Linked DNA regions of Macaca fascicularis. The protein of the gene in region 1 binds, or shares a complex with, the protein of each later gene. Links are inferred from orthologs where the notes say so. Each region holds a gene or a part of one and is shown in the gene's direction. Other genes may lie near its edges.

Evidence for each region.
Region 2: PRPF4 (region 1) and LSM4 share a complex: the UniProt entries of both Homo sapiens proteins name them as parts of the precatalytic spliceosome. The link is inferred for Macaca fascicularis from reciprocal best matches to the Homo sapiens genes PRPF4 and LSM4.
Region 3: PRPF4 (region 1) and LSM8 share a complex: the UniProt entries of both Homo sapiens proteins name them as parts of the precatalytic spliceosome. The link is inferred for Macaca fascicularis from reciprocal best matches to the Homo sapiens genes PRPF4 and LSM8.
Region 4: PRPF4 (region 1) and LSM7 share a complex: the UniProt entries of both Homo sapiens proteins name them as parts of the precatalytic spliceosome. The link is inferred for Macaca fascicularis from reciprocal best matches to the Homo sapiens genes PRPF4 and LSM7.

Annotation. Positions count from the first base shown.
Region 1 is NC_088389.1:44,821,136-44,829,090, reverse strand, and holds the start of PRPF4 (U4/U6 small nuclear ribonucleoprotein Prp4), read left to right. Parts: upstream 1-3,511; 5' UTR 3,512-3,597; coding exon 3,598-3,624; intron 3,625-4,391; coding exon 4,392-4,569; intron 4,570-6,987; coding exon 6,988-7,174; intron 7,175-7,955. Other genes in the region: anaphase-promoting complex subunit CDC26, read right to left, coding at 325-418, 1,185-1,243. UniProt on the Homo sapiens protein: Plays a role in pre-mRNA splicing as component of the U4/U6-U5 tri-snRNP complex that is involved in spliceosome assembly, and as component of the precatalytic spliceosome (spliceosome B complex).
Region 2 is NC_088393.1:18,685,666-18,693,455, reverse strand, and holds the start of LSM4 (U6 snRNA-associated Sm-like protein LSm4), read left to right. Parts: upstream 1-2,896; 5' UTR 2,897-2,955; coding exon 2,956-2,958; intron 2,959-7,790. UniProt on the Homo sapiens protein: Plays a role in pre-mRNA splicing as component of the U4/U6-U5 tri-snRNP complex that is involved in spliceosome assembly, and as component of the precatalytic spliceosome (spliceosome B complex).
Region 3 is NC_088377.1:159,619,304-159,627,077, forward strand, and holds the start of LSM8 (LSM8 homolog, U6 small nuclear RNA associated), read left to right. Parts: upstream 1-2,811; 5' UTR 2,812-2,922; coding exon 2,923-2,953; intron 2,954-4,352; coding exon 4,353-4,393; intron 4,394-6,903; coding exon 6,904-7,031; intron 7,032-7,774. UniProt on the Homo sapiens protein: Plays a role in pre-mRNA splicing as component of the U4/U6-U5 tri-snRNP complex that is involved in spliceosome assembly, and as component of the precatalytic spliceosome (spliceosome B complex).
Region 4 is NC_088393.1:2,985,698-2,993,392, reverse strand, and holds the start of LSM7 (U6 snRNA-associated Sm-like protein LSm7), read left to right. Parts: upstream 1-2,453; 5' UTR 2,454-2,485; coding exon 2,486-2,491; intron 2,492-2,574; coding exon 2,575-2,665; intron 2,666-6,200; coding exon 6,201-6,272; intron 6,273-7,695. Other genes in the region: SPPL2B (signal peptide peptidase-like 2B), read right to left, coding at 2,268-2,333. UniProt on the Homo sapiens protein: Plays a role in pre-mRNA splicing as component of the U4/U6-U5 tri-snRNP complex that is involved in spliceosome assembly, and as component of the precatalytic spliceosome (spliceosome B complex).

The DNA of each region.
Region 1 (7,955 bases):
TGATGATGCAAACAGACATGATTTCTGCAATCAATCACTGGCTGGGTGCAGTGGGTCACATGTGTAATCCCAGCACTTTGGGAGGCTGAGGCGGATGGATCACTTGAGGTCAGGAGTTGGAGACCAGCCTGGCCCCAACATGGCAAAATCCCGTCTCTACTAAAAACACAAAAATGACCCGGGCATGCTGGCATGTACCTATAGTCCCAGCTACTTGGGAGGCTGAGGCAGAGGTTGCAGTGAGCCAAGGATCATGCCACTATACTCCAGCCTGTGTGACACAGCGAGACTCCATCTCAAAAAAACACAAAGTTGTATTCATACCTCCAGGTCCTTTCGAATGCTCTCAAACTCTTCAATGTCATCAAGCTTTAGCTCTAGGCGTGTTGGTTTTCGTCTCAGCATACTGAAGTCAACACTAAGGGCCAAACCCAGTGAACTATTAGCTGATAAAAATGAAAGAGAGGAGGAAAAACTGAAGGTAATAAAGTCTCAGATACAAAACATAAAATCAGTTTGCAAGCCTGTGTACTAAAGTGAATGGAAGTATTAAAACTTTATTTGAATTCACACAGACTTCTAAAGTCTTTTTAAGAGATGGGATCTTGCTCTTTGCCCAGGCTGGAGCACAGTAGCATGACCTTAGCTCACTACAGCCTCAACTTCCTGGGCTCAAGCAATCTTACTGCCTCAGCCTCTAGAGTAGCTGGGACTACAGGTGTACACCACCATATCTGGCTAATTTTTGTGTTTTTTGTAGAAATGGGATCTCTCTCTGATGCCCAGGCTGGTCTCAAACTCTTGGGCTCAAGTGTTCCTCCCTCCTCATTTTCCCAAAGTACTGGCATTATAGGCAAGAGCTACTATACCCAGCCAACTTCTAAAGTCTTTAGGTATATGATTATTACATTTTTATTACATTATGGAGATCTACAGCTCTGTAAAATCAAAAACTCTTTCAGTAAGAATTTAAAATAGCAAACTATCACTTTAATCTCATGTTCTAGTCACATTCAAAGAAATACTCTAGCTAAAAGAATAAACTATCACATCTCAGTATAGTTAGAGGAGAAAGTGGACAAACCAGTGAATTTAATCTACTCTACGTGAGAACTGTCAGAGATTTGTGATCACTCCTGAATGCTAAAATCAGTTTGCTAAATCTCATGAAGACTCCAACTCACCAATTCACAGGATTATCCTCAGCGTCCAAACAGATCCTAAATGTGTGTACGTCATTCATTAAACAAACACTTCTTGTGCTCCAGCTACAGAATTAAAAGGTACAGTCATAATCTGTGGGGAAAATAAAGAAAACTATGATATCATATAACGAGAACCCTAATGAGGATACTGGCACTGGCATCACACAGGCACCTAATCCAGTCTGGGCTGAGTGTGGGGTGGACAAGGATGTCAGGCAAGCCTTCCTGGAGAAAATGATATCTTAGTTGACTTCTGAAGGGCAGGCAGAGAGAAGAGTGCACAAGGAGGCTCAAGACCAGCTTTGGCAACATAGCAAGACCCTGTCTCTACAAAAAAGTAAAAAAATTAGCTAGGCTGGTAGTGTGTACCTGTAGTCCTAGCTACTCAGGAGGCTGAGATGGAAGGATCACTTGAGCCCAGGAGTTTGAGGTGGCCACAGTGAGCCATGATCTCACCATAAGACCCCAACTCAGAAAAAAAAAAAAAAGAAGAAGAAAAGAGGTTCAAAAGAGCATTCCACAGCCTGAAATCCCGAGGTAATACTGTGTTAACAAAAACCATTTTGTTTTGTTTTGTTTTGTTTTTGAGAAAACACAACTCCCCCAATTGAGTTTAATATCTGTTGATGGCATCATTTGTATATTCTCCACAGCATCCCCTAGAGTGTATCTATAAAAACAGTCAGTAAATGTTTGTTGAATAAAAGGTGAGATCATTCTTGAGCACTGTGCTCTTTTTCCATTCCCATTCTTTACATTCTTAACACAAAAACCTGTGAAGTTGACAAAATGATTCCTATTTCACACATAAAGAAGTCATCGAAGCAAGCTGTTCAGTTTGGTTAATAATTTTAGCCTCCTATAAAAATTATACAGGTCAACATGATAAGGATTAAGTGAGAATGATGGAAGTGAAAACTCCTTGAAAGTATATAGAGATACAAATTATTACATGTATCTAGGATGAAACTAGGGACTGTGAAGTATACAAAGGAAGAAATATTTCCTTCTCCCATGAAGCTTAGGATATTACAGGCGATATTATCAACACAAAACACTGGCACATTACATTTCAAATTGCTTTGTACTAAATCAGGCATTATCTTCTACCAGATTCCAATGCAGACAAATGGTAGAGAAAGCCAAAGTTCCAAAGAGGGAAAGAGAGGGATAGGGATACCTAAAAGGAAAAAAAAGGTCTACTATACATTTTACCTTTTCTGCAAACTGCGAAAAACTGGCCACTACGGAGCAGTATAGAGTAGCAGTTAAAAGTGCTGGCTGTAGAGGTTAAAGGGCACAGGTTCTAATCCCACTGCGCCACTGATCTTGAACAATTAGTTTCATTTCTAACTAGGCCTTAGTTTCCTCATCTGTATCCTACTTTGCTGTTGTAGGAAGTGAATAACGTAATGCAGAGTAAGCTCTTGGAACATTACTTGGCATTTAATAAATGTTCAATAAATAACACCTATTATGGCTGTAATTTTTCTAGGGGGTTGGATGAGGATCTGGCCAGCTACGGAAACGTCAATATTTTGAGGATCTCCCACCGTCCACGTGGGGATAAAAACCTTATGCTGTTCGTCTCTAATACCCCAGCATCCAGCAGGGCAGAGAGACGTACAGTTCCCTGACACCCTCCTAACCATCATCTTACTCTCAATCTGATACAAAGACCAGGCTGAAGACAAATGAACAAAATCAGGCCGAAGCTCCTCCGCCGGGTCTTTATTTGACTTTGGCACCAGCGGGCTCTTCTAGCTTAATCTCTCGCTGCAGCCCAAATCCACCGCCGAGCCATCAAGCTCATAGGTGGCCCCTGGGAAGACTTCCGGACCATGGAAGAGAACAGTCCTCGTCCCCTAGCTCCAGGCCTGTACCTCGGATCCCAGGGTTTCTATGGTAACACGGTCCTCGGCTCCCAGAAGACGTAAACGCCCCCGTAGGCCCGGGGAGGCACAGCGGGCCCCGGAAGCCCTCGACTCGCTCCAGAGTTCAGCCCCGAGCCGCGCGAGTCGACTTACCTACCTCTTTTCAAGTCGGCTCAGCCCCTTCCCGGAACCTCGGCTCCCCTCCACGAAACTACTGCTACGCCAACTGGACTACACTTCCCAGACGGCTTGGAGCCTCTCTCTCAGCAGAACCTCGTCTTCCGCGAGCTTTTCTTGGAGGTTCTAGGAGGGATGCCCCTCAATGCCACGACGCCATTTCCTACTACGACTTCCATCATGCTCCGCGCCGCTCCGGGCGCAGCGACGGCTCTTGGCCCATGTCCTGTTTGCGACACACTTCCGGTCAGTGACGCACTTCCGCTCTGCTGGGCGCGCGGTGGAAGGTCTGAAACGGAGAGCTTGGATTTCGCTGGGGCCTCGCGGCTCCAGAGCCCAGCATGGCTTCCTCGCGAACCTCCTCCACGGTACAGAGCCCGGGATCGCAACTCACTCTGGCAGGGAGCGCGAAGGGGGAAGAGGATCTCTGCGGGAAGGGGCCGTTAGGGAGCGAGAGAAGGCGGTGGAGGGCTGAGGAGGAAGGCTGCGGGACTCAGTGGTGTTCTACACAGCGGACCACCGTTTTCCTGACCCCTAAGCGCTTTCGTGGACTGTAGCTTATTTGCACCTCTCCCACTACAGCCCCAAAGGGCAAACATCTCTTCCGACTCATCCAGTAACGGTGCTCTGAAATAGGGAAGTGTCTTGGCCAAGGTTTATGCGTTTGGCAGATCTCAAAATTTTAATGAGACCTACTAACTTCTACCTCACGTCTAGAAACGTTTGAAATGTATACACTCGTAATGTTGTAACTTGTTATCCTTTAGCACCGCGTTGGTTATTTCATCTATCCTTAGTATTTCCCCAGTGATGAGCAGTAATCTTGGATACATCGTAAAACACGAGATTCCACGTTTCCAGCAGAATAAAGTAAACAGATTCCAGAGCAAACCTTTCATATGAAAATACTCGAGAGAACCTCACTAGTTTTATCAATCCCGTCAGCTAAAGTGAGGGACTGAAACACCCTCCCCTTCACCTCAAATCGATGAAGAACATCTTAAGTAGTGTCCAATTTGTCCTTTCAATTATGAAGGAAATAGGACTGTGAAACTCAGGGCGAGCTTCATCCTCGGGAAATCCGGTAAATTGCCAAGATTAAACCTCAATTTAATCCAGATTTTTGATTTGGCAGGCAACCAAAACTAAAACACCCGATGACTTAGTTGCTCCGGTTGTGAAGAAACCACACATCTATTATGGAAGTTTGGAAGAGAAGGAGAGGGAGCGTCTGGCCAAAGGAGAGTCTGGGATTTTGGGGAAAGAAGGACTTAAAGCAGGGATCGAAGCTGGAAATATTAATATAACCTCTGGTAAGATGCAAATTGTGAACCCATCTTTACCTCTTTGTGTAATGAATACTTTCCTAAACTTGAATATCATCAGTTTTATAATGTCAAAAAATTTAAGTTCTTTTGTTTTAGACGGAGTCTCGCTCTGTCACCAGGCTGGAGTGCAGTGGCGCGATGTCTGCTCACTGCAACCCCCGCCTCCCGGGTTCAGGCAGTTCTCCTTCAGCCTCCGGAGTAGCCGGGATAACAGGCGCACACCAACAAGCCCAACTAATTTTTGTATTTTTAGTAGAGACGGGGTTTCATCATGTTGGTCAAACTCCTGACCTTGTGATCCCTCCCCCTCGTCCTCCCAAAGTGCTGGGATTACAAGCGTGAGCCACTGCGCCTGGCAGAATTTCAATTCTTAAACTTGCATCTATAAGGCTGTATTTTGCCTACCCCCTTAAAATCATGCAGAGAGCCTTTTTCTTACAATGTGTTACATAGTTTTGCTTCTATGAGTGAGCAGTCTTATCAAAAATTCAGTGTACATTTGGATTCAGATTGATTCCATTTGTCTTCTGGAGATCTAACATAGTTCTGGCATTGGTTTGCAGCTAGAGTGGTTCGTGATAATCTCCCTTTTGAAGTTTTCCAATTATTTTTTACCCAAAGGGAAATATCTTTTTTTTTTTTTTTTTTTTTTTTTTTGACACAGGGTCTCACTCTCTTGCCCAGGCTGGAATGCAGTGGCATAACCGTGGCTCACTGCAACCTCTGCCTTTTGTGTTCAAGTGATTCTCCTGCCTCAGCTTCACGATTAGCTGAGATTACAGGTGCCGGCTACCACACCCAGCTAATTGTTGTATTTTTAGTAGAGACGGGGTTTCACCATGTTGCGCAGGCTGGTCTCCAACTCCTGACCTCAAATGATCTGCCCACTTCGGCCTCCCAAAGTGCTGGGATTACGGGCGTGAGCCACTGCACCTGGCTGAGATATCTTGTTTTATTATAAAAGTAATAGTGGCCAAGCCTGGTGGCTGAAACCTGTAATCCCAGCACTTTGGGAGGCTGCGAAGTGGGAGTCCGGCTTGAGCCCAGGAATTCGAGACCAGCCTGGGCAAATAGTGATACCCCATCTCTACAAAAAGTAGAAAATTAGCCGGGCATGGTGACGCGTGCCTGTATTCCCAGCTAATTGGGGTTCTGAGGTGGGAGTTCAAGGCTGCAGTGAGTCATGATTGTACCACTGCACTCCAGCCTGGACAACAGAGAGAGACCCTGTCTCAAAAAAAAAAGGTAATAGTTATTTTTCTTTTAAAAGATCAAACAGTGTATGAATGTGTGAAGTAGAAAATCCAGTATTTTTTAATTAATTGATTGTATATCTTAGAATTTTAATACAGCTATAAAAATACGTCATTTTTTCCATAAGTGAAAACATGATACGTAAATTGTTGTATAACCCCCATTTTTCATTTTATATACCATTGAGGATATCTTTCCATGTCAGTAATGAGAGGTCCACTCTATTTTTAAAATAAAATTACGCATATTTGTCATAAGAAATTCAGACAATACCAGAGGGCATAAAATGAAGACTCCTCTGGCTGGGTGTGATGGCTCACGCCTGTAATCCCAGCACTTTGGGAGACTGAGGTGGGTGGATCACGACGTCAGGAGATGGAAACCATCCTGGCTAACATGGTGAAACCCCGTCTCTACTAAAAATACAAAAAAATTAGCCAGTTGTGGTGGCGGGCTCCTGTAGTCCCAGCTATTCGGGAGGCTGAGACAGGAGAATGGTGTGAACCCGGGAGGCGGAGCTTGCAGTGAGCTGAGATGGCGCCACTGCACTCCAGCCTGGGCGACAGAGCGAGACTCCGTCTCAAAAAACTGAAGACTCTTCTGCAGTAGGGACATCTGTCAGGTTTCTCATTGATCCTCCCACACATTTTCTAAACACATGTGCTGTAGCCTAGTGACTTTTTAAAGTTTTTATACTGTTTTTAAACATAATGTCACCACTGTACCTCTCATTTTTTATCACACTTGTATTTTGGTGTGGGTTTCAAAACTATTGCTAGATTTTCCAGAAATCCTTATAGTTGTGGAACTCTCATTTTCATGGTAATTATTTGCAGTTTACTAGTTAATTATTTGTTAAGTATCCCTATACTGGGACTCCTTTAGAGAATAAATAGCTTTGTAAAGTTATGTAGAGGTATAAAGTTAATAAATGAAACCAGAGGTGGCTTGAACCATTTTCCTGCCTTTTGAAGTTGTGTCATTTAGGTTTATGTGTTTGGCATAATTTAATAAACTGAAAAACAGTAAACTATAAAATGTGTAATATATTAGACATTACCTTTCTCTCAGGGCATACACAGACTGCAATTATTTATTTCTCTCCATTTGAAGAAGATCTGCTGATGTTGCCTGTTTTCTTTTTGACAGGAGAAGTGTTTGAAATTGAAGAGCATATCAGTGAGCGACAGGCAGAAGTATTGGCTGAGTTTGAGAGAAGGAAGCGAGCCCGGCAGATCAATGTTTCCACAGATGACTCAGAGGTCAAGGCTTGCCTTAGAGCCTTGGGGGAACCCATCACACTTTTTGGAGAGGGTCCTGCTGAAAGAAGAGAAAGGTCACCTTTCTAAACATTTACTTTTTTTCTTTATTATAATCACAGGGTTCTACTCCAAATTTTGGTTGATGTTTTAGTTGAACTTGAATAGAATGTCTCAAATCATGTTATCATGTTACCAATATCTTACTGTGTTTATATGAGTTAGCCTATCATCTATCTTAGGCCAATTTTTATTCTACTATTAATTTTTTTTTCTTTTTTTTTTTTTTTTTTTTTTTTTTGAGGTAGAGTCTTGCTCTGTCACCCAGGCTGGAGTGCAGTGTCATGATCTTGGCACACTGCAGCCTCCACCTCCCAGGTTCAAGCAATTTTCCTGCCTCAGCCTCCCAAGTGGCTGGGATTACAGGCACCCGCCACCATGCCCAGCTAATTTTTGTATTTTTAGTAGAGACAGGGTTTCACCATGCTGGCCAGGCTGGTCTTGAACTCCTAACCTCAAATGATTCACCCACCTTAGCCTTCCAAAGTGCTGGGATTACAAGCGTGAGCCTCCACGCCTGGCCAGTTTTTCTTTATAGACTGGGAAGAGGGTGCTAACATGCTCCCTTGCCTCCCCTCCCCAGTGCAAGTTTTGAATTGGATAAACATTTGTTTTGGGGCTTTGAAAATTTAGACATCAAATGCATTCTATGTCAGTAACCTAAAACAATGATAAATGTTTTTTGGATTTTATTGAAGAGGGGTACGGTCCTCGGGTAATGCCCTCTTATGATTTACAGGTTGCAAAGTCTTTTAGTTGTGGTCTAGTCATACACAATTATGAAGAGCCCTTCTGGTC
Region 2 (7,790 bases), on another chromosome or scaffold:
CCCAGGTTGGTCTCAAACTCCTGGGCTCAAGAGGTCCAGCAACCTCAGCCTCTCAAAGTGCTGGGATTACAGGCATAGGCCACCGCGCCTGTCCTGGCTTGTTCTTTTCATGTTTCTTTTTTTTTAGAGTCTCGCCCTGTTGCCCAGGCTGGAGTGCTGTGGCACGATCTCGGCTCACTGCAACCTCTATTTCCCGGGGAGGGGGGGAGTCAAGCAATTCTCCTGGGATTACAGGTGCCCACCACCATGCCCAGCCAATTTTTTTGTATTTTTGGTAGAGATGGGGTTTCACCATGTTGGCCAGGCTGGTCTCAAACTCCTGACCTCAGGTGATCCGCCCACCTTGGCGTCCTAAAGTGCTGCAATTACAGGCGTGAGCTGCCGCGCCTGGCCTTTACGTTTCTTATTTAAAAATATAAGCAAATTGGCCGGGCGCAGTGGCTCATGCCTGTAATCACAGCACTTTGGGAGGCCAAAGTGGGCGGATCACCTGAGGTCAGGAGTTCAAGACCAGCCTGACCAACATGGAGAAACCCCGTCTCTACTAAAAATACAAAATTAGCTGGGCGTGGTGGTGCATGCCTGTAATCCCAGCTACTCGGGAGGCTGACGCAGGAGAATCGCTTGAACCCAGGAGGTGGAAGTTGCGGTGAGCCAAGATCACACCACTGCACTCTAGCCTGGGCAAAAAGAGCAAAACTCCGTCTCAAAAAAAAAAAATATATATATATATATATATATGCAAATTTTGTTCATGTGCTTGGTGTGGTAAAAAATATATATATATAAGCCGGCCGCGATGGCTCAAGCCTGTAATCCTAGCACTTTGGGAGGCCAAGACAGGTGGATCACGAGGTCAGGAGATGGAGACCATCCGGCTAACACGGTGAAACCCCGTCTCTACTAAAAAATACAAAAAACTAGCCGGGCGAGGTGGCGGGCGTCTGTAGTCCCAGCTACTCGGGAGGCTGAGGCAGGAGAATGCCATAAACCCAGGAGGCAGAGCTTGCAGTGAGCTGGGATCTGGCCACTGAACTCCAGCCTGGGCAACAGAGCGAGACTCTGTCTCAAAAAAAAAAATATATATATATATATATAAAATATATGCAAATATATAAACACATACACATGCATGTATTTCTCTTTGTGCACACAAAAGATGACATATTGTAAAAACTGTTCTCTACCTTGGTTTTTTTCCACTTAATATATCCAGACACCATTCAATGTCAGTATATGAAGACTGTCTTCATTCCTTTTTATAGGAACTTCATTCCTTTTTATAGCTGTATTACTCCATCATGTGGTCGCATTGGGTTTCTTTCAGTCTTTTGATATTATGTATAATGTCAATAAATAGCATCGGTCATTGAAAAATGAGGCTGGGCACAGTGAGTCACGCCTGTAATCCCAGCTCTTTGAGAGGCTGAGGTGGGTAGATCACCTGAGGTCAGGAGTTCGAGGCCAGCCTGGCCAACATGGTGAAACCCCGTCTCTACTAAAAATACAAAAATTAGCTGGGCATTGTGGCGTGTGCCTGTAATCCTAGCCACTCTGGTGGCTGAGGCAGGAGAATCCCTTAAACCCAGGACGGAGGGATTGCAGTGAGCTGAGATCCCACCACTGCACTGTAGTCTGGGTGATAGAATGAGACTCCATTTCAAAAAAAAAAAAAAAAAAAATAGGGTCTTTGCAGATGTAATTAAGGATCTTGCGATGACATTATCCTGAATTTATGGTGGGCTTAATAAGAGAAAGGCGTGTCCTTATAAGAAAACGGAGAGGCTGGGCTCGGTGGCTCACGCCTGTAATCCCAGCACTTTGGGAGGCAGAGGAGGGAGGATTGCTTGACCCCAAGAGTTCGAGACCAGCCTGGACAACATAGGGAGACCCTGTCTCTACAAAAAAAGAAAAAAAAAAGGAGAGAGTCGTTTGAGACTCAGAGACACACAGAGAAGGCCAAGTGACGACAGAGGCAGAAGGCGGAAGGCTGCATCTACAAGCCAAGAACTCCGAGGTTTCCCAGCAGCCACCAGAACCCAGGAGAGAAGCATAGGACACGCAGATTGTCCTCAGAGCCTCCAGAGGGAGCCAACCCTACTGACAACCTCATTTTATTATTCTGGTCTCCTGAATTATGAGAAAATCACGTTCTGTTGTTTTAAGCCTCCCAGTGTGTGGGCATTTGTTACAGCAGGCCCCAGGGAACTAATAGCATTCGCCTATTTACTTTGTTTACTGTCTGTCTCCCTAAGGGCCACGAATTTTGTGTACTGTTCATTTCTATGAGCAGAAGCAGGCACAGAATAGGTATTAAGTACTTAATATATGCCAGACGCTGTTTTAAGTGCTTTTACACGGTTTCATTCATTTCATCCTCATAGTAAGTAACGTTTTGGAGCAGACACTACTATTTACAGGGAGAAAACTGAGGCCCCGAGGGTCGTGGTCAGGATTCCAACCTACTAAATGATGTTCCCTGGATAATTACAGAATCAGAAAACTAGGAGTCCGAAGGGCGACACCAGGGACGTCCCAATCACCACGAAGCCTGGATTTCTCTCCCTCAACTGCAAAGGAAGTTACTGGCTTTGCCCACAGCGTGGAGCCCAGAAGACCGACGAAGGTTTCACCTGCGCACGCGTTTACCCACAATGCACCCCGCCCCGGCGCGCGTTGCTCCGCCCCCTTTTGTATTACAAGCCGCGGCACTTTACGGCTCTCTTCCTCGTTCCTCTGGCGGGAACACGGCCCGGCCCGCCCCTTTCGCCTAGCGGGCCCCGCCCTACTCCGCGTGGATTGGTTAACCGGCCTTCTAGCCCGGTGCTGACTGGCTCGCGTCTCTGCCACTTTCTTTCAGCCCAGTGGCGCGCGGCGCGGCGTGGCGAAGACCGCCGGGAGCGTGTGCAGCGGCGGCGGCGGAAGTGGCCGGCGAGCCCGGTCCCCGCCGGCACCATGGTGAGGGCAGAGCAACGGCGGGGTCTCACCGGGAGGCGGGAACCGCAGTCGTTAGGAGCCCTGCGGGCGGGCGCTGAGGGCTGGGTTGGCGCGGGGCGAACGTACGGTCCGAGCCTTGAGTCCCGTCCCCCGGCACAAGGCCGGGAAACTGATGCTGGAGACTGCAGGTGGTTCTACCACGTTCGTGTCTGGGATTTAGGGTTGCACGTACTCGTATCCACAGTACAGTGGCCTCGCCTTACTTAGTTTTCCCATTTTGCAGGTTGGGAAACTGAGGTTAAAAAAGTGGGGATCTGCCAAATGCAACAGAGAGTTTTTGGGCAGGGAAGGGGGTCCCTTACGCTTCGGACCCAGTCTGACCTCCCAGATTGAAACCTAGAATGCTGGGAAGTAGGGGGCCAGTCTGAGTTGTGAAACTTAGTTTTAGGAATTTCAGAGCTTGTAAGATGCTTAAAATGCTAGCAGCAGAGCCTCTTAGGCCTCTTGTTTTCTGGCTGAAAAGTAGGCCTGGTGCTGGGGTGTGGTGTTTCTCCTTGGTTCACAAAGCATGTCATTCCAGAGGAAGGGAGCGTTTTGAGCTAGGGGTGGGCAAAGTACATCCTCCCCGTACACAGAAGGAAAAATTGCAGCCCAGGTCTCTGCAGGGCCACATTGTTTATGATTCTGTAAGTTCTGGATCTGGGCTAGAAAGTGCCCGTGTCTCCCAGTGTGCAGATCAGAAAAGGAATCCAGAGCTGGGAGTTTCCTGGCTCATCAGCATCTGGCCCTTCTTTTTTCAATGAGAGAAACCAAGGCCCTTGTTGGGGATGTGACTTCCAGACTGTGAGACAGTGGGAGATTCAGTAACCAGGAGGGCCCCCCAGGGGTGGCTGCATCAGAACTGTGGATTAGTGAGAGAGCTCTCCCTAAATCCAGCTGGTCAGTGTGTAGCCACCCAACGGGTTCACCTTGCCTGCTTCCTAGACAGAGCCCATTTATCAAGACAGGGCAATTGCAATACAGAAAGAGTATTTCACACAGAGCCAGCTATGCAGGAGACTGGAGTTTTATTACTGCTGAAATCAGTCTCCCCTGAGCATTAGGGGATCCGAGTTTTTAAAGATAATTTGGCGGGTAGGAGCTCAGGAAGTGGGGAGTGCTGATTGGTTGGAGCTTCCTGAGGTTGGAGATGGAGTCATTGGCGGGGGGGGGGGGGGGGGGGGGGGGCGGGGGGGCGGGGGCGGGGGTTGAAGTGAGATTTTCTTGCTGTCTTCTGTTCCTGGGTGGGATTGCAGGACTGGTTGAGCCAAATTACTGGTCTGGGTGGTGTCAGCTGATCCACCAAGTACAGGGTCTGCAAAATATCTCAAACACTGATCTTAGATTTTATAATAGTGATGTTATCCCTAGGAGCAATTTGGGGAGGTTCAGACTCTTGCAGCCAGAGGCTGTATGACCCGTAAACAATAATTTCTAATCGTGCAGCTAATTTGTTAGTCCTACAAAGGCAGACTGGTCCCCAGGCAAGAAAAGGGTCTTTTCGGGAAAGGGCTATTACCAATTTTGTTTCAAACTATACACTAAATCCCTTCCCAAGGTTAGTTCGGCCTATGCCCAGGAATAAACAAGAACAGCTTAAAGGTTAGAAGCACGATGGAGTCGGTTAGGTCTGATCTCTTTTCGCTGTCATAATTTCCTCAGTTACAATTTTTGCAAAGGCGGTTTCAAGAGCAAGGATTCAGAGAGCCTGTCCCTCTGCCATGTACTTAGAGGGCAGAGTTGGCATGCAAGACTGGGCAGAGCTGGAAGGATCCATCCCTGTGTTAAGTTTTGTGGAAGCAGAATCTTTTTTTTTCTTCCAACTATATTCCCAGTGTGTAGAACGGTGCCTGGGCAAAGTGTGAACTCATTCATTCAGCCCCTTCCCACCTTCTGAACATCCAGAGTCCTGGCTATCCAGCCATTTCCTGGAGGAGTGGCCAAGAATGGACAAGGCATCATGGGATACACACTTCCAGTTCCCTGTGATCAGGGCAGGGCCAGAAGGAGTGGCCTGGGTTAGGAGCGGGGATGGGCAGTCCTGGACAGCTTCCTGAATTAGGAGGCACTGGATTAGGTCTTTGTGGATCTAGACCTGAGAACCAGATTCCAGATGCTGCAAGAAAGCCCACTAAACCTCCACCTCTCGGAGAGAGTGATTTTCCTGCCTCAGCCTCCCAAGTAGCTTGGGATCACAGGCATGCGCCACCACGCCTGGATAATTTGTGTATTTTCAGTAGAGATGGGGTTTCACCATGTTGGCTAGGCTAGTCTTGAACCCCAGACCTCAGGTGATCCACCCACCTCGGTGTGTCAAAGTGCTGGTATTACAGGTGTGAGCCACTGCACTCTGTACTTTTTTTTCTTTTTTGGAACTGAGCTCTCACTGTCGTCCAGGCTGGAGTGCAATGGCACAATCACTGCAGCCTCAACCTCACCGGCCCAAGTGATCCTCCCACCTGAGCCTCCCAAGTAGCTGGGACCACATGCGTCACTAAACCTGTCTAATTCTTACATTTTTTGTAGAGACAGAATCTTGCTGTGTTGCCCAAGCTGGTCTCATACTCCTGGGCTCAAGTGATCCTCCCACCTCAGCCTCCCAAAGTGCTGTGATTATAGGCGCAAGCCACTGTGCCAAGCCTCACCTGGCACTTTGATGTATCTTCTTTTAAGATTTTGAGGATCCACCCCTTCCTCTGACCTCTTTCTCCAACAGAGTTTGGAGATGAGGATATAGGAGAAATCAAGATATATGGTCACAGCCCCAGGCCATTGCAGCCTTGGAGGACCCGGGACTCAGGCAACTCCCTGTCCGGTGGCCACTCCTTCCCTTACCTGTGGGGTGGGGCGAGTGTTGTGCCTTCCCTGCGTGCCTCCCTGAGTGGTGTGTGCATTTCTTTTGTGTATTTATTCAACAAATATTTACCGAGTACCTCTTATGTGCCTGGCCTTGTGCTTGGCCCTGGACAAAGTCCACACCCACTTTGAGTGTTCCAGTCTAGCAAGGGACAGAGGTAATAAACAAGGTAATTAAAGACTGGCTGCATCCTATGATGGAAACAAACACCCATGAGGCAGAGAGTGGCCATTAAGAGGGCCTGGCCAAAGGAGGTGACGTTTCAGCAGCCACGCGAAGGTCTGGGGAAGGTCACCCCAGGCAGAGGCAATAGCAGAAGTCAAGGTCAGGTGGCAGGAATGGGTGTGACAGCCAGTGTGGCAGAGCCTCTCAGGCCTGGCTCTGTAGCTGGCCTGGGGAGTGTTGTGAGCAGGTCTGCACCAACCCTATTTGGGTGTTTTTTGGTTTTTGGTTTTTGTTTTTTTTTTTGAGATGAAACGTCACTGTCACCCAGGCTGCAGTGCAGTGGCACGATCTCAGCTCACTGCAGCCTCTGCCTTCTGGGTCCAAACGATTCTTCTGCCTCAGCCTTCCGAGTAGCTGGGACTACAGGTGTGCGCCACCATGCTTGGCTAATTTTTGCATTTTTAGTAGAGATGGAGTTTTACCATATTGGCCAGGCTGGTCTTGAACTCCTGCTCACTGCAGCCTCTGCCTCCTGGTTTCAAGCGATTCTCCTGCCTCAGCCTCCCGAGTGGCAGGGATTACAGGCGCCTGCCACCACGCCCAGCTAATTTTTGTATTTTAGTAGAGACGGGGTTTTGCCATGTTGGCCAGGCTGGTCTGGAACTCCTGACCTCAGGTGATCGCCCGCCTCAGCCTCCCAAAGTGCCAAGATTACAGGTGAGAGCCGCTGTGGCTGTCCCACCAGCTCTCTTTGTTTCTCAGATGTTCTTTCTGCTGCTTTTGGATGAGACTGCGGGTGACAGGCAAGGAGGCCATGGGTCCTCCCAGGCTGTGCTATTGGTCACTGGGATTAGGTGGTGACCCGAGAGGGGCTGTCACTGGCATGGAAGGTGTGTCTCCAGGCCACCTGCTGACAGTAGGGCGTCTGCCTCTGGGCAGCTCTGCCCGGGCCTTGCTGGATTTCCCTGGGCAGGTCACTTCTGCTGTGGGCGCCGGCGCCTCCTCTGCAGAATGAGAGGTGGGCCTTAAAGGGCTAGCCGGACCTCTGCCCCTTCCCCAGTGATCCAGGAGGACGTCCCGGGTCCCGTTCCTGTTATGGACTGGAGAAATAAAACAGGCTTACTGAGGAAAACCCATGGCTTCTTCACAGCAAAGGGCGACCTGGGCATGGGACCCGTGTGCCAATCGGTGGCTCTTGTGTTTTCTCTGTGGCTGGTGGCACCCAGTCAGACACACGCCCAGCCGCCCGCAGCCCTCCTCCCCTGCCTCTCCGAGCAGCCGCCCCGCGGCCACATGGCCCCTTCTTCCCCCTTATCTGGCTTTTCCAGGAAGCCGGTGCAGGAAGCGGGCTTGGGCCTGGCTTCCTGCTGGCACCGACCTCCCCTGGGCAGCTTTTCTCAGGAAGGGGCTGTGGGATGTAGGATTCCCTCCCCAGCCCCTTCCTTTCATGGGGGAGCCACCCCACCAGGGTTGAAGGCCATTTCCGGCCTCCACAGCGAGAGGCCTTCAAGTTCACACCCCCTGGAAAGGTGGCCACCCTGTGGATCAGGGTGGTAGCCAGGGCAGGACTCCCAGCAAAGGCTTCTGGGGTCAGGGCCACCTGGAATTCCAGTCACCAGGACAAAGCAAGGTGAAGCCTCTGTCCTGTGAGGCACTGTCTCGTCAGGGCCCCTTGGTGCTGGGGCCTTCCTCACGGCAGTACTAGAACGGGCCCGTTATAGGACCCCGTACCCAGGCACAGCCCTGTGTCACCCCGAGGCAGTTCCCAGTGTACGGGCTGAGTTTTATGTTT
Region 3 (7,774 bases), on another chromosome or scaffold:
TATTCATTTTTTAATGCAATAATTATTTCACTTTTATACTTAAAGGTCTGTAACTATTCAGGAATTTCCTTGTAAGTAGAGACGCACGATCTACTTATGTCCTTTTCTGCCTAGGAGAACTCTGGTTAGATCTATTCAATATATATTACTGTTTGGTTAACACCCTTGCAACTTGCAGGGAAGTAAAGCATAAACACAGAAAAGGAAATAAAAGTTCCCATCACATAAGGTTAAAAATATTATTTTATTTTAAAAATTTTATTTAAAAAATTGTATAGTTTTCCATAAACTATTCAGAGAAGGGCAAATTCAGTTTCCTCAGATTCTACCAGAAGTCTGATCCTTTAGGTTAATGTTTTCTGCTCAAGAGTTAGATTCAGAAGTAATGGAATAAAATTATCTATTACAAGCATACTTTGGTTGATACTTTATCAGTGATATGTCATTTAAATACGCATTACTTTGAGAGATTTGGACTTAAGGGGCAAGTTTCACCCTTAACTCTTAATTTTTTAGTAGTCAGATGTTTATATGTATCAGTTTTCCCTTGTTGGAGCTTTAACGTAATTCTCCTTTATGAGATGCTAAGCTCTCTACATTCACATACTCTCAAGGGTACATGGCTAATACAGATAAATCATACATGTAATGTTTGCATCCAGATGTAATTCATTTTTTGTCTTAATAACTGGACTTTTATCTATCCAGAGGCTTTCTCGTTACATCTGTGATCCTTACAGACTACAGAAAACATAGCAGTTTTAAGACACATGCAAAAAAGTTTCCAGCCAAAGAGATTTTGTGATGCTCCATAAATACTGTACATCTGTTATTTATCTGGCATATTACTTTAATAACTACACAAGGCCATAGACTTACAATGTATTTATGATGAAAGTAGTTTCGTAAGCTACCATATAATGTTAAACATTTTCAAAACAAAAGCACACTCTAAGTGATGAAAAGCTGTTGGGAGTATTTATTTTTTTACTTTTATTTTTTATTTTATTGAGATGGAGCATCGCTCTGTCGCCCAGGCTGGAGGGCAGTGGCACGATCTCCGCTCACCGCAACCTTCGCCTCCCAGGTTCTAGTGGTTCTCCTGCCTCAGCCTCCCTAGTAGCTGCGACTACAGGCACCCGCCACCACGCCGGCTTATTTTTGTATTTTAGTAGAGACGGGGTTTCACCATGTTGGCCAAGATGGTGTTGATCTCTTGACCAAGTGATCCGCCCGCCTCGGCCTCCCAAAGTGCTGGGATTACAGGTGTGAGTCACTGTACCCAGCTTTATTTTTATAAGATCACACAGAGGTTAGTTTTTATGTTTTTGAGATGGAGTTTCGCTCTTGTCGCCCAGGCTGGAGTGCAATGGCGTGATCTCAGCTCACTGTAACCACCGCCTCCCGGGTTCAAGCGATTCTCCTGCCTCAGCTTCCAGAGTAGCTGGGATTACAGGCATACACCAACACTCCCAGCAATTTTTTTGTTTTAAACAAAACTCTTAACACCTCGTTAATCATTAATTAGTCTTTGGGTTTTGATTCAACTCCTAACATTTGCAAATCACACAATTATCTTTGTTCTTTCATTTGTGGAAGACACTTTCATTTGTTACCCTGAGAATATGAGACATTCACAATCTAATTCCTGACTACATTTGATTTCAAACAGATCGGAATAACTTCCAGAATATAAAATTTTAACTATTTGGGAGTCATCTTGTAGGTATCTTGTGGGTATGCTCTAATTAAGAAATGCTTCCTTTTCCCAGGAAAACTGCTGACATTGCAAGAGTTATTCCAAAGCCACAATTCTTAAGAAAATACATGTTTAACCTAAATCATAAAGATATTTTGTAAAAAAGGGAAATCGCTCCTGCTGATGTTTTGTGTATAAATCTCTTTCTAACTTCAAGCTCTCTCAAGTTAGGGCAACACAGTAAATAAAGTGGGAACAGTATCACATTGGGAAATATCTGAAATGATACCTATGGCACTATAAGGAAACTGAGGCCCAGAAGAATTGAAGTGACCTGTGCAATGACACCAATACGTTAGCAGAGCCAAGATTAGAACCAAGTTTGGTGCCTTCCTGCATCAGTCCTTTCTTGGTGCTGAAGGAGCCTTTTATTTATTAATTTCACCCTGGAGAATTCCGGCAGACCATCCCGGCGTGGTAGAAGCGTGAACATTCGTTTTCTAAGGGATGGTCACACACCTTTTTCTATTTGCATTTAGTTTCTTTAAAAAGTAAAAACACCTCCATTTTGGACCACTTTTAGAGACAAAAGCAGAACATACGAACGTGCATTTCATTGTTGAGTTCTTAAGACGCTTACACCGTGTGGTTATAACGTGCGCAACTTTGTCCCGGCCAACTGGACTTATTTTTAGTGTTATTTTCGGCTCCTGCTGCAGAAAACTAGGGATTCAACTACCCGCACCCGCATTTCACACAACAGCGCTCGTCTACTCTCCTCCTTCACTCCTAATAAAAAACGCCTTATCCTGTTTCTTCCTGCCTGCTCTACCTCAACATTTTCACTTATTATCTTCCACCACACTGGGTTTTACTCGGATTGGAAACCCACTCTCCCCCAACTTCTCTCTCGTACCCCACCTTCGGGAAGCGTCCTCCTTTTTTCCGCCTCTCGTTCCCTTTGTCTTACACGGCTTCCGGAACACGGCCCAGAATTACAGCGAAAACACACTGCGCACGCGCACTCTCTCGTCAGAGCGGCGCTGCTTCTGTTTGGTTGGCTAGTTCGTCCCAATTTCCGAGTCAAAGGGCTGCGGAGCAGCAACTCTCACGATATTTGCGGCGGCCCGCAGACGCGAACCGCTGCCGAGTTCTGGCGCGCCCTTTCAGTTCTGCTTGTGGCCGGCACCACTGCGTTATCCGGAACTGCCGGTCCGAGCAGCATGACGTCCGCCTTGGAGAACTACATCAACCGTATCCTCAAGCTGGCCGCCGCGGGCGTGAGCCGGGGCCGCGGAGAGACCGCCGCTCGGGGATCGGTGGGAAGTTGGGAGGCCCGGCCGCGGCGGGATCCTGGGGGCGGGCGAGATGAGGACCCCGGAATGACCCAGAGTTCGGCGGCGGCGCCTAGAGCCTGCCAGCTGCTGCGGGCCCAGGGGTCCTTTCCATTTTGTCTACAAAAGCCAAATAAAAACCCAGTGTGATTTTTCCGAACTTTTCTGTCTTAAAAAAAATTACGCTCTTGATTCTTCCTTACTATTTCCCTAGGGCATAAGTGTTCAAGTTTGTAAATAAGATTAACAGTCGTCCTGGCTGCGACAACAGTTTTGCAAATCTGTGTACTTGTTTTATTCACATAATATGCTCATTAGTTCGAGGATAGCAGAAAGTTTAACGATGGTTCACAGACTGTTTCTGTCCCTTTACCACTTGAAGACCCTACCTGGTGGTGGAATGAAAAAAATGCTTGCTGTTGTAATGGATTATAGTGAGGAGCAAGTAACAACCCCACGGGAAGTCTTAAAATAGACTTTACAAGTGTTACCGTTTTAAAGTCTCAGAACAAAAACACTATGTTAAGTTCAGGTACAAACTGGGTGACAAAAATTAAATACCGAATGCTTTTAATGTTACAGGCATTGTTAGTACCTTGTGACACTGATTATATAGTTTATTTACTTTTGAATTACAGAAGCCTGCCCCGGAAGACAGTTTTTTAACATGCTTGAAAATCGTCCAACATCGATGAATTTAGTACTCATCCAGTTTTCATTTTAGATATAAACAGGCCCAAGAAACGAAATATCCTGTCCGAAATAATAGATTGGCAGCATTCCTAGTAGAAAAGTGTCAAAAATCCAGGATATTTTGAGATAGGATACACCGATCACATACAGAAAGAGGTTTTCTTTTCTATTTTTTCCTTTTTTTAGTCATGTAATTATCACAAAACTAAAACAAGCTTTTAAAAAATTTTTTTTCTTTCTTTTTTTGAGTCGAGGGTCTCACTGTGTTGCCCAGGCTGGAGTGCAGTGGCTTGATCATGGCTCAATGCAACCTTGAACTCCTGAGCTCAAGCTATCCTCCTGCCTCTGCCTCTGTCTCCTGAGTAGCTGGGACTATAGGTCACCAGGCCAGGGTAGTAGAGATGGGGGGGGTCTCACTGTGTTTCCCAAGCTAGTCTCACCTCAAGTGATCCTCCTGCCTTGGCGTCCCAAAATCTTTCAACGTTTTTATGTAGTGAACTTAGTGGCTGTGTTGAACACTTTTACCTAATTGTCATATTTGTTCTAATAATTTAAATCATTACCTTGCCAGAGTCTGTTTTCAATTTGCATTCCCTAAGAAACACTTTCCTTTATTCAGTTATCAGGAACTGTTGCCGTTATTACATCTGATGGGAGGATGATTGTGGTAAGTCTTCGGAATTTTCATTCTCTGCTTTCCTGTAGGTTTATTGGTTGCAAGTTTTATGTGAAACCTCTGATCTCTAATGCCTAGACAGCACATTACACCTGTAGTGCAGTTTTATTATAATTCAGCTCTTTATCACTTTGCTGTCAATCCACGTTTTCCTCACTCATAAACGTGGCGTGTTACCTACAAGGCTTCTAGGAGCTAGAGTTATAGATTCTGCCCTCAGAGAGCTCCTAGTCTGCAGACCTTCATTAAACTTACTTTTCTTCTTCCATTTTTATTTCCTTCCTCATTCGGCACCACATGAATCAGAATTTTTTGAAATTTTGCATATGCTTAGTAACTTTTTAATGATTTAGATACTATTAATATCTACATATCAACATTTAAGGCTTGTATACAATCTTAACATTCTTTGTTTTTAGGTTGTGTGACATGTCTTCTGTAGGACACATTATGATGATTGACTCTCTCTATATACACATATTTACGTAAAATTGGCTTGTTCCTTGAAGTTGTTTCTCCCTTGCTAATTTATGTCATATAACAAAGATAAAACGTTCCTATGGTGATACTTGTATTTGGAATTTGATCTGAGGAATTCATCTCAAGATTTTTGGGCACTTGATTATTTCTTCACTTATAATTCCTACTCCAAATGCTTTCAAAAGAATTTTAAGGCTACTAAACTTTTCTAACCCTACCTAGTTTCTTTAAATAATTTGATCCCTTATTTTTCCATTCTGCAGTTTTGCTTTCGTTTGTTCTTAGTGACTATTGTTAGTCAAAGTTCTAGCTTTGCCATTTACTAAATTTATATCGTGTGCCAGGTGCATATGTGTTACATTAATTAATGTACATACAACCTTGTGAAGAATAAGTACCCCTGTATTCTAGATTAGGAAACAAGTTCAGAGAAGGTGACTCACTTTCTCAGAGTCACAAGGGTAGCAGGTGACAGAACCAAACTGGGATTTAAATTTGGTTTGACATCAAAGCCAAGGCCAGTTGCCTGGCTTCTTTCTTAAGGAAGCAATCATGTTTTCTTAGGCACCTCACATTGTATTTTTTCAAATGTGGACAGTTTGACATATTTTAACCTCAACACTTCAAGAAGCCTATTGCTATTAATAGATGTTTGCATTATTTTTTATTTAGTGAAAACCTTACGTTTAAATTTTCTTATTTTTGTTAACAGGATAATAAACTGGGAAATTATTTTTAATTTTAAAGAAGAAGGAAAGCGATATAAAAAGAGCATCTTAAGTTCTAAAGTTCAATAGTTCTGTATTTCTTTGACACATAATTTATTTGATGGGATAGTTAATGGGCAAAATGAAGCCAATAAGTTATGAATGGGTGTTTATAATAATAACCATTTGCTAACTAGTTCAATAAATACTCCATATTTTGTTTCTCTTCCAAGTTATAGATTTCTTTTTATTTAATTCTCATTTTATATATTTTGACTTTCAGAGGATAAAACAGTTTAAGAGCTTGAGAGATTTAACCATCAAAACCAATGTTAGTTGATAATTCTTCAGAAACTTGAATACCATCTGAGTTACTCTGTTATGCTAGACCCATGCCTTCTTTTATTCAATTCTAAACTTTCATAAAACTCTCCCTGATTATTTCCTTCAAGTTCTGGTTCTAATTAGTATAGTCACATTTGTATCTACCTTACTGGGAGAGTTCAATAATACATCCATTTGATACACATTAAACAATACATGTGAGACAGACGGAGCACCGGTAACTAAAGTACTCGTTAGGTGTTATATGTAACTACTAAATTTTTAAAATATTTATGGGACTGATTTGAATCTCTGAAAAATGGCAAATTATATTTACTTGTGTATGATAGTATAGAATGTTACGGTTTAGTGGTCTGACTCAGGAGCTAGCCTTTTGTGGTTCATCTCCTGGCTCTGCCACTTACTACCCATGTGCCCATAAGACACACCACTCTGTGCCTCAGTTTCTTCTTTGAAATGGGGCTAATTATAGTATTAAAGGGTAGAGATGAGTTGAGACAATGTGTACGATGTGTTTAGCACACTGCTTAGTGCTGGTATGTAGCATATAGTGATACATTACATTGCTGTAGTTGGTATGTATGGTTCTTCCTTATTTATGTATATTTGCCCATCAGTTTCCCTTAAATCTCCTTTGTTTTAGTTTATACCTTTAGCTGCTGGTCTTCGTAAGCTTTTATGCTAGTTACTTTTTGGAGATACTCAAATTAGTACATAGTTGTCGTTTCTAACTGCCGTCAACTCTGCATATGAGTGAGATGTGTGGTGCAGGACCCCCACCCCAGCCAAACAACCAAGAGGTAAATTGTGTACCCTCGAATACTGTTGGTTATAAAAAAGGTATTTTATTTGACATTGTATTGTTACTTGTATTGGAATACTTGGCAACTGAAATGATTGTGAGGCTGAATTTACACTTTCAGGTAAACCAGAATATTTCTCTTTTTCTCCTGAATATTTTCTTTACAGGGAACACTGAAAGGTTTTGACCAGACCATTAATTTGATTTTGGATGAAAGCCATGAGCGAGTATTCAGCTCTTCACAGGGGGTAGAGCAAGTGGTACTAGGATTGTACATTGTAAGAGGTGACAACGTGTAAGTAAAATATATCTGTTAAAATTATAAATGATACTGCCTTACTTTATGGAGAAGAGGTTTTACCCAAAATACCCTATTGTATTGTCCATATGTAATTAATAGAATCTTGCATTCATTTCTTTTGTAAATACAGCGTTTCTTATATTTGCATAAAGTAAGGCATAGCTATACATTTTATGTCAACACTTTATGTTTCAACCAAAGCTTTCTCTCTACAAATTAAACTTACCTGAGATTTTCCATTTTTCTACTAGTTAAGTAGCCTGGGTAGAGTCCAGAAAGGGCCCTGCCTTATATTAAATACTTCATTAGAGAGGCTTCTTCATGTGTTCTTAGAAATACCCAGAATTTTAGAGGAACATATTTCTAGAGTCCAAGGCCAAAGTTTGAAAAATGGTTTTGAAATCTCTCATTTGAACAATACTAATTCATGCTCAATAACATAGATGTATTTGTAAATAAGTACTTACTTGTTATTCATTTTCTTTTAATTTTTTAGTATCATTGACACACTTACGATGTCCCTGTGGCCTCAGTTTACTTGGGACAGACAGATATAACAGTTTAAGAGTAATTGGCCAGGCGTGGTGCCTGTAATCTTAGCACTTTGGGAGTCTGAGGCAAGTGGATCAGGTCAGGAGTTCAAGACCAGCCTCGCCAACATGGCAAAACCCTGTCTCTACTAAAAATACAAAAATTAGCCAGGCTTGGTGGCGTGTGCGTGTAGTTCCAGCTTCTCG
Region 4 (7,695 bases), on another chromosome or scaffold:
TAGTCTCATTCTGGGCAATCGGACTCAAATTTCCACTGCCGCGAAGCACCACCCCCCAACAGGGACAGGCCTCTCAGGGTGTATTTACAACCGGGGTTCTGGGAAGGCCAGGAGCACCTGCTCTCTCACGTCCCTCTGACACGTCCTTTGACTCCCCACCTTCCAGATAAAGCTCACACTCCTCAGCCCCCCCAGGTTAAAGTCCATGCACCCCAGCACAGAGAGCCTTCCACAACCTGCTTTCCACCAGGCGGCCTGTCATCCAGCCTAAGAGGCCAAATGCTCTGCCTTCACTCTCTGCCTGGGGCCACTCGCACCACTCCCCCCTCCTCTGTGCCCCTGCTCCAGCGTCCATCCACGGCCCACCCCCCAGGACCTCCTTGGTGGTGACATCTTTCAGGATGTAAATCCTCCCTTCCAGCATTGTTCCACCCTAGACTCCAGCCACAGCCCACCCCTTGCCAACCCCAAATAACCCGCTAGCTCTCACACCTCCCAGCCCCCGCTCATGCTGCTTCTGGTGCTTCCAACACCCTTCCCCTCCTGCCGACCCGGCAAACTCCTACTCATGGCTCAGAACACCTGCTTCAGGGCTGGGCATGGTGGCTCACGCCTGTCATCCCTATACTTTGGGAGGCCGAGGTAGGTGGATCACCTGAGGTCAGAAGTTTGAGACCAGCCTGACCAATGTGGTTAAACCTCATCTCTACTTAAAAAAAAAAAAAAAAATAGCCAGGTGTGGTGGCGTGCACCTGTAATCCCAGCTATTCGAGAGACTGAGGTGGGAGAATTGCTTGAACCGGGAGGTAGAGGTTGCAGTGAGCTGAGATCATGCCACCGCACTCCAGCCTGGGAGACAGAGCAAGACTCCGTCTCAAAAAAACAAACAAACAAACAAAAAAAACACTCCTGCTTCAGAAAAGCCTTCCCAGGCAAACTGAGTCCCTCCCTCCACAGCGTTCTGTGATCTTTCTATCTTTCTTCCACCTTTGGCTTTCCTCCTCCTTCCAAATGTCTGGGGTCTCTAGGTCCCTGGCCTCAGAATAGGGGGAGTCCAGGGGGCTGACAGGGCAGCTGGGGGTGGAGGTGCGGTTCGCAGAAAGCTTCTGAGGGGGCCCTCCAGCCTTGCAGAGACCACGGGCATTTCAGGGTAAGAGAAAAGACTAGACAACGAAGCTCCTGCAATGAGCTGCAGGCTTCCCTGGCGCCAGGTCACAACTGGACGGCACGTTCATCCAGATGCGACATGGACTGACATACTTTGAAAGGGTCACTCCTGCTGTGTCGAGGATGGACTAGGGATGTGGGGGACAAAGGCAGCCACAGCAGGGGGATGGCGGTGGGGCTGGAAGAGTGGAGACTAAGAAGGAGCCCAGTGGCAGCGACGCCTTAAGAGAACTCTGAGAGAGGAGTGAAGGTTAAGGGCCGCATTTGTGAGGCTGCTCCGGGTTCCATTCCCTGAGCCACCAAACTCAGGTAAGAGGTAAGATTTGGAATTAAGAAAATAAAAGATGCAGTTACGACAGTGCCATCTCGTAGACTGTCCCCGCTAGAACCTGACACTCTACATCAAAGGATACACAATGAATATAAGGAAGGCGTGCTGTCCCTAGGCGCTGGTCACCCTGGGTAGCATCTCCAGAATCCACACCATAGTCGACCCCCCTTCTCCAGACGAGCAACTGACGCTCAAAGCAGGGAATTCCCTCGTCCAAGGTCACGGAGTAAAAGATGGAGCGGGAATACGACCCCAGTGCAGGGCTGGGCTCTTGGCCGCTCCAGGATGCTGGCCAGTCACTGGGGGACACGCGGGACGCCTCTGGGTTCCCCCACCGCACCCCCTAGGGTGAGGTTAGCTTAGCACCGGGCCATTCCGCCTAAAGGGAAACTGAGGCTCGGAGCGGGGTGGGCGGCCGCCTGCCCAAGGCCACAGAGCGGGAGAGAGGCGTCCCCCGCGGCGGCTGGAGACCCCGAAACGGACAAGCAGAACAGGGAGATGGAGGGGGCACAAACTTCAGGCCCGGTGGGAAGTGAGGGGCGCTGCAGCGGCGGAGGGCCTCCGAGGCGGGGAAGGGAGAGAAGCCGGGGACAGCCCCGCAAGGTCACGGCCGGGCCCCGGCACCGCCGGCCGACAACGAGGGGACCGCGGATCCCCGAGGCTGGACCCCCAAGACGGGCCAAGAGGGGTCGTTCCTGCGCGTAGCCTCGGGGCCGAGAGGCCGAAGGGCCGCAGCCTGCGGTGCCGTCGGGACCGGTGCCGCGCTCACCTGGGCCGCGAGGAGCAGAAAGGCCGCCACAAGCCGCGCCAGCGCAGCCGCCGCCACCGCCGCCATCTCGGCCGGTGCCCGCCGCAACCGTCGGCAGATGTTTCCCAGCAACGCCCCGAGACCCCGGGCCACGCATGCGCCGCGCATGCGCGTGGGGGGGAGGGGAGAGGTCACAGGGCACGGGGCGGTGTCTGCGAAGAGCCTCACGGCGCGACAAGATGGCGGTGAGCGCGCGGCAGAATCCGGAGCCGGGGGGCGTGGGGCTCGGGCCGCGCTCCAGGCCTCATGCGCTCTGCTTTCCCCGCAGGATAAGGAGAAGAAGAAAAAGGAGAGCATCTTGGACTTGTCCAAGTACATCGACAAGACGATCCGGGTGAAGTTTCAGGGAGGACGCGAAGGTGAGGCGGCTCCCGCCGTTGGCACCCCCCCTTTAAAATTTTAAAATAAAGTCAGCAACAGAGGTGATGAGGATGCATGCAGAGGCGCCTCTTTTATTTATTTTTATTTATGTATTTATTTTGAGACGCAGTCTCGCTCCGTCGCCCAGTCTGGAGTGCAAGTGGTGCGATCTCAGCTCACTGCAACCTCCGCCTCCCGGGTTCAAGCGATTCTCCTGCCTCAGCCTCCTGCGTGGCTGGGGCTACAGGCGCCACCACTCCTGGCTAATTTTTGTATTTCTAGTAGAGACGGGGTTTCACCATGTTGGCCAGGCTGGTCTCAAGCTTCTGACCTCAAGTGATTCGCCCGTCTCGGCCTCCCAAAGTGCTGGGATGACAGGCGTGAGCCGCCGCAGAGGCGCCTCTTTACACGCTTGACGCCGACTACCTTGTGCAGGCTTCCGAATTACGCCGGGAGGTAGGAACTGGTATGGCCATGTTGCAGGCGGGGAAACTGGGGCAAGGAGCGGGAAACAAACGTAATCCAAAGTCACAGTGGCGCAGCCGGTATTGGGATTTCCGGCTTGGCCTCCAGAGCAGTCCTGTGTGTCCAAGGACTGCCCCAGATCCCCACAGATCTCCCGGCTTCTCCTCTTCCTCCCTCTAAGTCAAGGTCTTTCCCGCACAGCAGTGTGGACACATTTGGGGCCGGATTCTCTGGAGTGGGGCCGTCCTGGGGCACTGCAGGGTGCTGAGCAGCATCCCTGGCCTCCACCAAGTTGTGACAACCTAAATAGCCTCAGACATTGCTTAGTGTTCTCTGGGGATAGGATCGCCCCCCGACCCCCAAGCTGTGATTGGGAATCACAGCTACTAAGGTCAGTCTCCACTCAGCGGCCAGAGGCACCTAATGAAAAAGAAATGGAGGCTTCTTGCTCCCTGCTGAAAACCTCTGAGGCTCCCGGTTGTTTTGGAGTAAAATCCGAATCCATACTTCTGATTATGACTGCAAAGGGCGGCAGAAGCACAAGTTCCACAGGTGCTTGCTCTGGGAAGCCCTCCCTGACCCTGGCGTCAGGCCCCCCATCGTTCTAGGATCCTGGTAGCACCTGTCACCGTTTGCGGTTTCGTGCATGTTAACCTGATGCTTGCCTCTGCCTGCAACTCTTCCATGGAATCTAGTGAAGACAGGGCGAGCTCTCAGAGGGCAGGAAGCATTCGCATGGGCAGTGGGCTGGTGATGCATGCTGCAGCTCTTGGCGGGACGCAGGGACTCACGCCTGTAACCCCAGCACTTTGGGAGGCTGAGGCAGGCGGATCATATGATCAGGAGATCGAGACCAGCCTGACCAACATGGGGTTTCGTGAAACCCCATCTCTACGAAAAATACAAAAAAATTAGCTGGGCGTGGTGGTGCACACCTGTAATCCCAACAACTCAGGAGGCTGAGGCAGGAGAATCTCTTGAACCCAGGAGGCAGAGGTTGCAGTGAGCTGAGATCGCGCCACTGCACTCCAGTCTGGGAGACAGAGCGAGACTCCGTCTAAAAATAAATAAATCACACACACGCACACACACAGCAGAGAAAGGGTTTGCTCCCTGAAGGACTCACCTGATATGGTCAGGCTCACCCAGGGTGTTTCCCTCTAGATTGGCTCAAAGTCAGCTGGTTCAGGGGCTTAAACAGCTGCATAACCTAAGTGCAGGAGTGACGTCATGTCCCCTCAGAGTCACAGGCCCGAGCCCACACCCCGGGGAGGGGAACCTTGGTTAGAGACCTACCTACCTCAGTGCTCACATCTGTCCCTGTGAGGAGGGCTGGCTCACTGGTCAGGCTGGTGCCAAGGACCTGAACCGTTGCGTCTGACCCCATCTCATAGGTGACAGGTTTCATTTTGCAGGGGAGGGACTTGAGCGCAGAGAGAGGGAGCCGTGGAGGTAGGAGCTAAAGCCTGTATGCAGGTGGGCAGACCTTCTCTGTAGAAGGCCAGACAGCAAATATCTTCAGCTTTGCAGCCCAGATGGTCTCTTGTCACAACCAGTGAGCTATGCCCGCAGAGCAGGAGAGCCGCCCTGGTCAGTGCCTGAGCGGGCGAGTGTGCTGGTGGGCCAGTGAAACTTTGGCATACAGAGATGAGCGGTGGGCCACTTTCGCCTCTGGTCGTAGTTCGCAGCGCAGAACGGCCATGGACAGGCTCACAGCCCTGCCTTGGGAGAAGATAGGCGGGCAGAATAATGCCTGGGGTGCCTGCTTCCTGAGATTGGTGGGGGGCATGCAGAGGGCAGCACCCTAAGGGGTGTGGGTTGGTGTCTGGAGGAAGCACCTGAAAGATGACAGGGGTAAGAAGGAGGGTAGGGAGCGGGTGGCTGAGGGACGCCCCTCAGTGAGCGCAGAGGCGGAACCGCTCCTGGGCCTGGGCTGGAGGAGCCTGGGGGGAGAGGACGGGAGTCCCGGACAGGGAGGGTGGGCTGGCCTCTGCTGAGGACACACAGCTCCCCCTTCATCCTTCTCAGTGTCACCAGACACTGCGGAGCAGGATCAGATGGCAGAGGTCACCACCGGGTCAGAGAGCCCTAACCCAAGGTGCCAAGTTGTGACCTAAGGCGGCGAGGCTTGGGGGGTGGGGCAGGCAGCGTGGAGAGAGAAGCCACAGCAACCGCCTCAGCCCCCAAAGCCTTTGCACCCGGGTCTCAGAGCATCTCTCTTGCCCGCTCCCCGCAAGCCCTGAGCTGCAGGGCTGGGATTTGTTCTTCTGTATTCCGTGAACTCACTGAGGGACCTAGCACAGGTCAGGCAGCGCAGTCACCACCGCTGTCCCAGCAGAGCACTCCGTCTCCCCTAGAGGAAGCCCTGTCCCCATCAGCTGTCACTGCCTGTCGCCTCCCCGGCACCCACACATCCCCTCCCTGTCTCTGTGGATTGGCCTGTCCTGGACCTTTCATAGAAACGGGATTACACGCTGCGCGGCCTTCTGTGGCTGGCGTCTCTCACCGAGCGTGGCGCCCTCAGGCGCGTCCTCAGGCACATCCGCACCGCAGCCTGCGCCAGCCTCGCTCCTCTTCCCGGCTGGTGGTTCCACCGCATGCATGTGCCGCGGCCTGTTTTGCTACTGTTTTGGAGCCGAGAATTGTTTTTATGACTTTTAAATATCTGGAAAGGGATCAAAAGAAGACTGTCTCACGATGTGGAAATGATACGAAATTCCCGTTTCAGTGCCTGTGTGTCGAGCTGACTGGCCACGGTTCAGCCACACGTGGACTCATCACCGAAGCTGCTTCCACCCAGGCAGCCCGAGCCAGCAGCTGTGACCGGCACCCTGTGGCCCACACGGCCAGAAGTGTTTGTCCTCTAGCCCCCTGCAGACACAGTCGGCTGCCCATGGTGGGGGTCACTCTGGAGGCGCCTGTCACCAGCCCCTCCCGGGAGCCCTCCCCCACCCTCAGTCCTCCATCCCTGAAGCAGTGAGCCCCATGCCTGGGCCACGCTGGGGCAGGCCCTGTACCCAAGATGGATCTCATGCCTTCTCATTTCTCTCCCCCGGTGATTTCTCCAAGCCAGTGGAATCCTGAAGGGCTTCGACCCACTCCTCAACCTTGTGCTGGACGGCACCATTGAGTACATGCGAGGTGAGTGGGGCGGTGGCTGAGGCGGGCAGCGGGATGAGGAGGGCAGTGGGGTGAGGGGGCAGCAGGGCAAGGGAGGCGGCCATGGGGCTGCCTGCTGCCTCTTCCTCTCTGAAACCCACAAAACCTCACTCTGAGGCACCAACGTGAAGCCTTGTGTTGGCCGATGGACGGGCTGAGCGCTCACTGGTCCTGGACGTCCTCACAAAGCTGGAAACTCCATTGTTGTGGGGCCTGGAGAGACGGGGAAGCTTCCCCACTGGTCTCTACATACTGACAGGGCACTTACAATGCTCGCAGCACAGTTAGAGGACAGGCTTTTTAAATGTTGTATTATTTCAGTTTTTGTTAAACTGGTGTCGCAAGGGGCCGGGCACGGTGGCTCACACCTGTAATCCCAGCTGCTCGGGAGGCTGAGGCAGGAGAATCGCTTGAACCCGGGAGGCGGAAGCTGCAGTGAGCCGAGATGGTGCAACTGCACTCCAGCCTGAGAAACAGAGTAAGACTCCGTCTCCAAAAAAAAGAGATAAGCTGAGGTCTCACTGTGTTGCCCAGGCTGGTCTCAAACTCCTGGGCTCACGCCATCCCCCTGCTTCAGCCTCCCAAAGTGCTGGGGTTCCAGGTGTGAGGTGTGGCACCCAGCCGAGAGCAGCCTTGCTGTGGGAGAGCGAGCGTGCTGTGGGACCCCTCTCGGGCCCCTCTCCTCTTCTGCCTTGTTAATCCCCACTATGAACGCAGGGCCCCCATCCCCTCCCCAGAGAACCCTCCCTCATTTCCCTGCCCCTGCTCGCTCTCCTCCCCAGTGAGGCCGCCAGGTCCTTAGACTCTCCCCGCTAGAAGATCCTGCTGCAAGTCCCCAGCCCGGCCCAGGCATCGGGGGGAGGCCAGGACTTAGAAAGAGACAGTCTTACCCCTCGGACCCATTGATACTGACACAAGATTTATTCTTGGAGCTGGCCACGGTGGCTCATGCCTGTAATCCCTGCACTTTGGGAGGCCGGGACAGGAGGATCACTTGAGCCCAGGAATTTGAGACCAGCCTGGGCAACATAGTGGGACCCTGTCTCTACAAAAAAAACAAAAAAAAAATGAATTAGCCAGGCATGACGGTGCATGTGCCTATGGCCCCAGCTACTCGGGAGGCGAAGGCAGGAGGATTGCTTGAGCCCAGGAGGTTGGGGCTGTGAGCTGGGATGATGCTACTGCACTCCAGCCTGAGCGACAGAGCAAGACCTGGTCTCTAAAACAAAAATGTTACAAACCTGGGCCCCGTGGTTCTCCCATGCCCCCACCAGCACACGACCACAGTAGTGAGGAGTTTTCATGGCCGTCAGCCTCTTCAGAGCTTGTCTTGGGCTTGCTGGTACTTCCCTGGGGTGCCAGCCCACATGATCCCCACGTGGGTCCCACCCACATGAACAGCCTC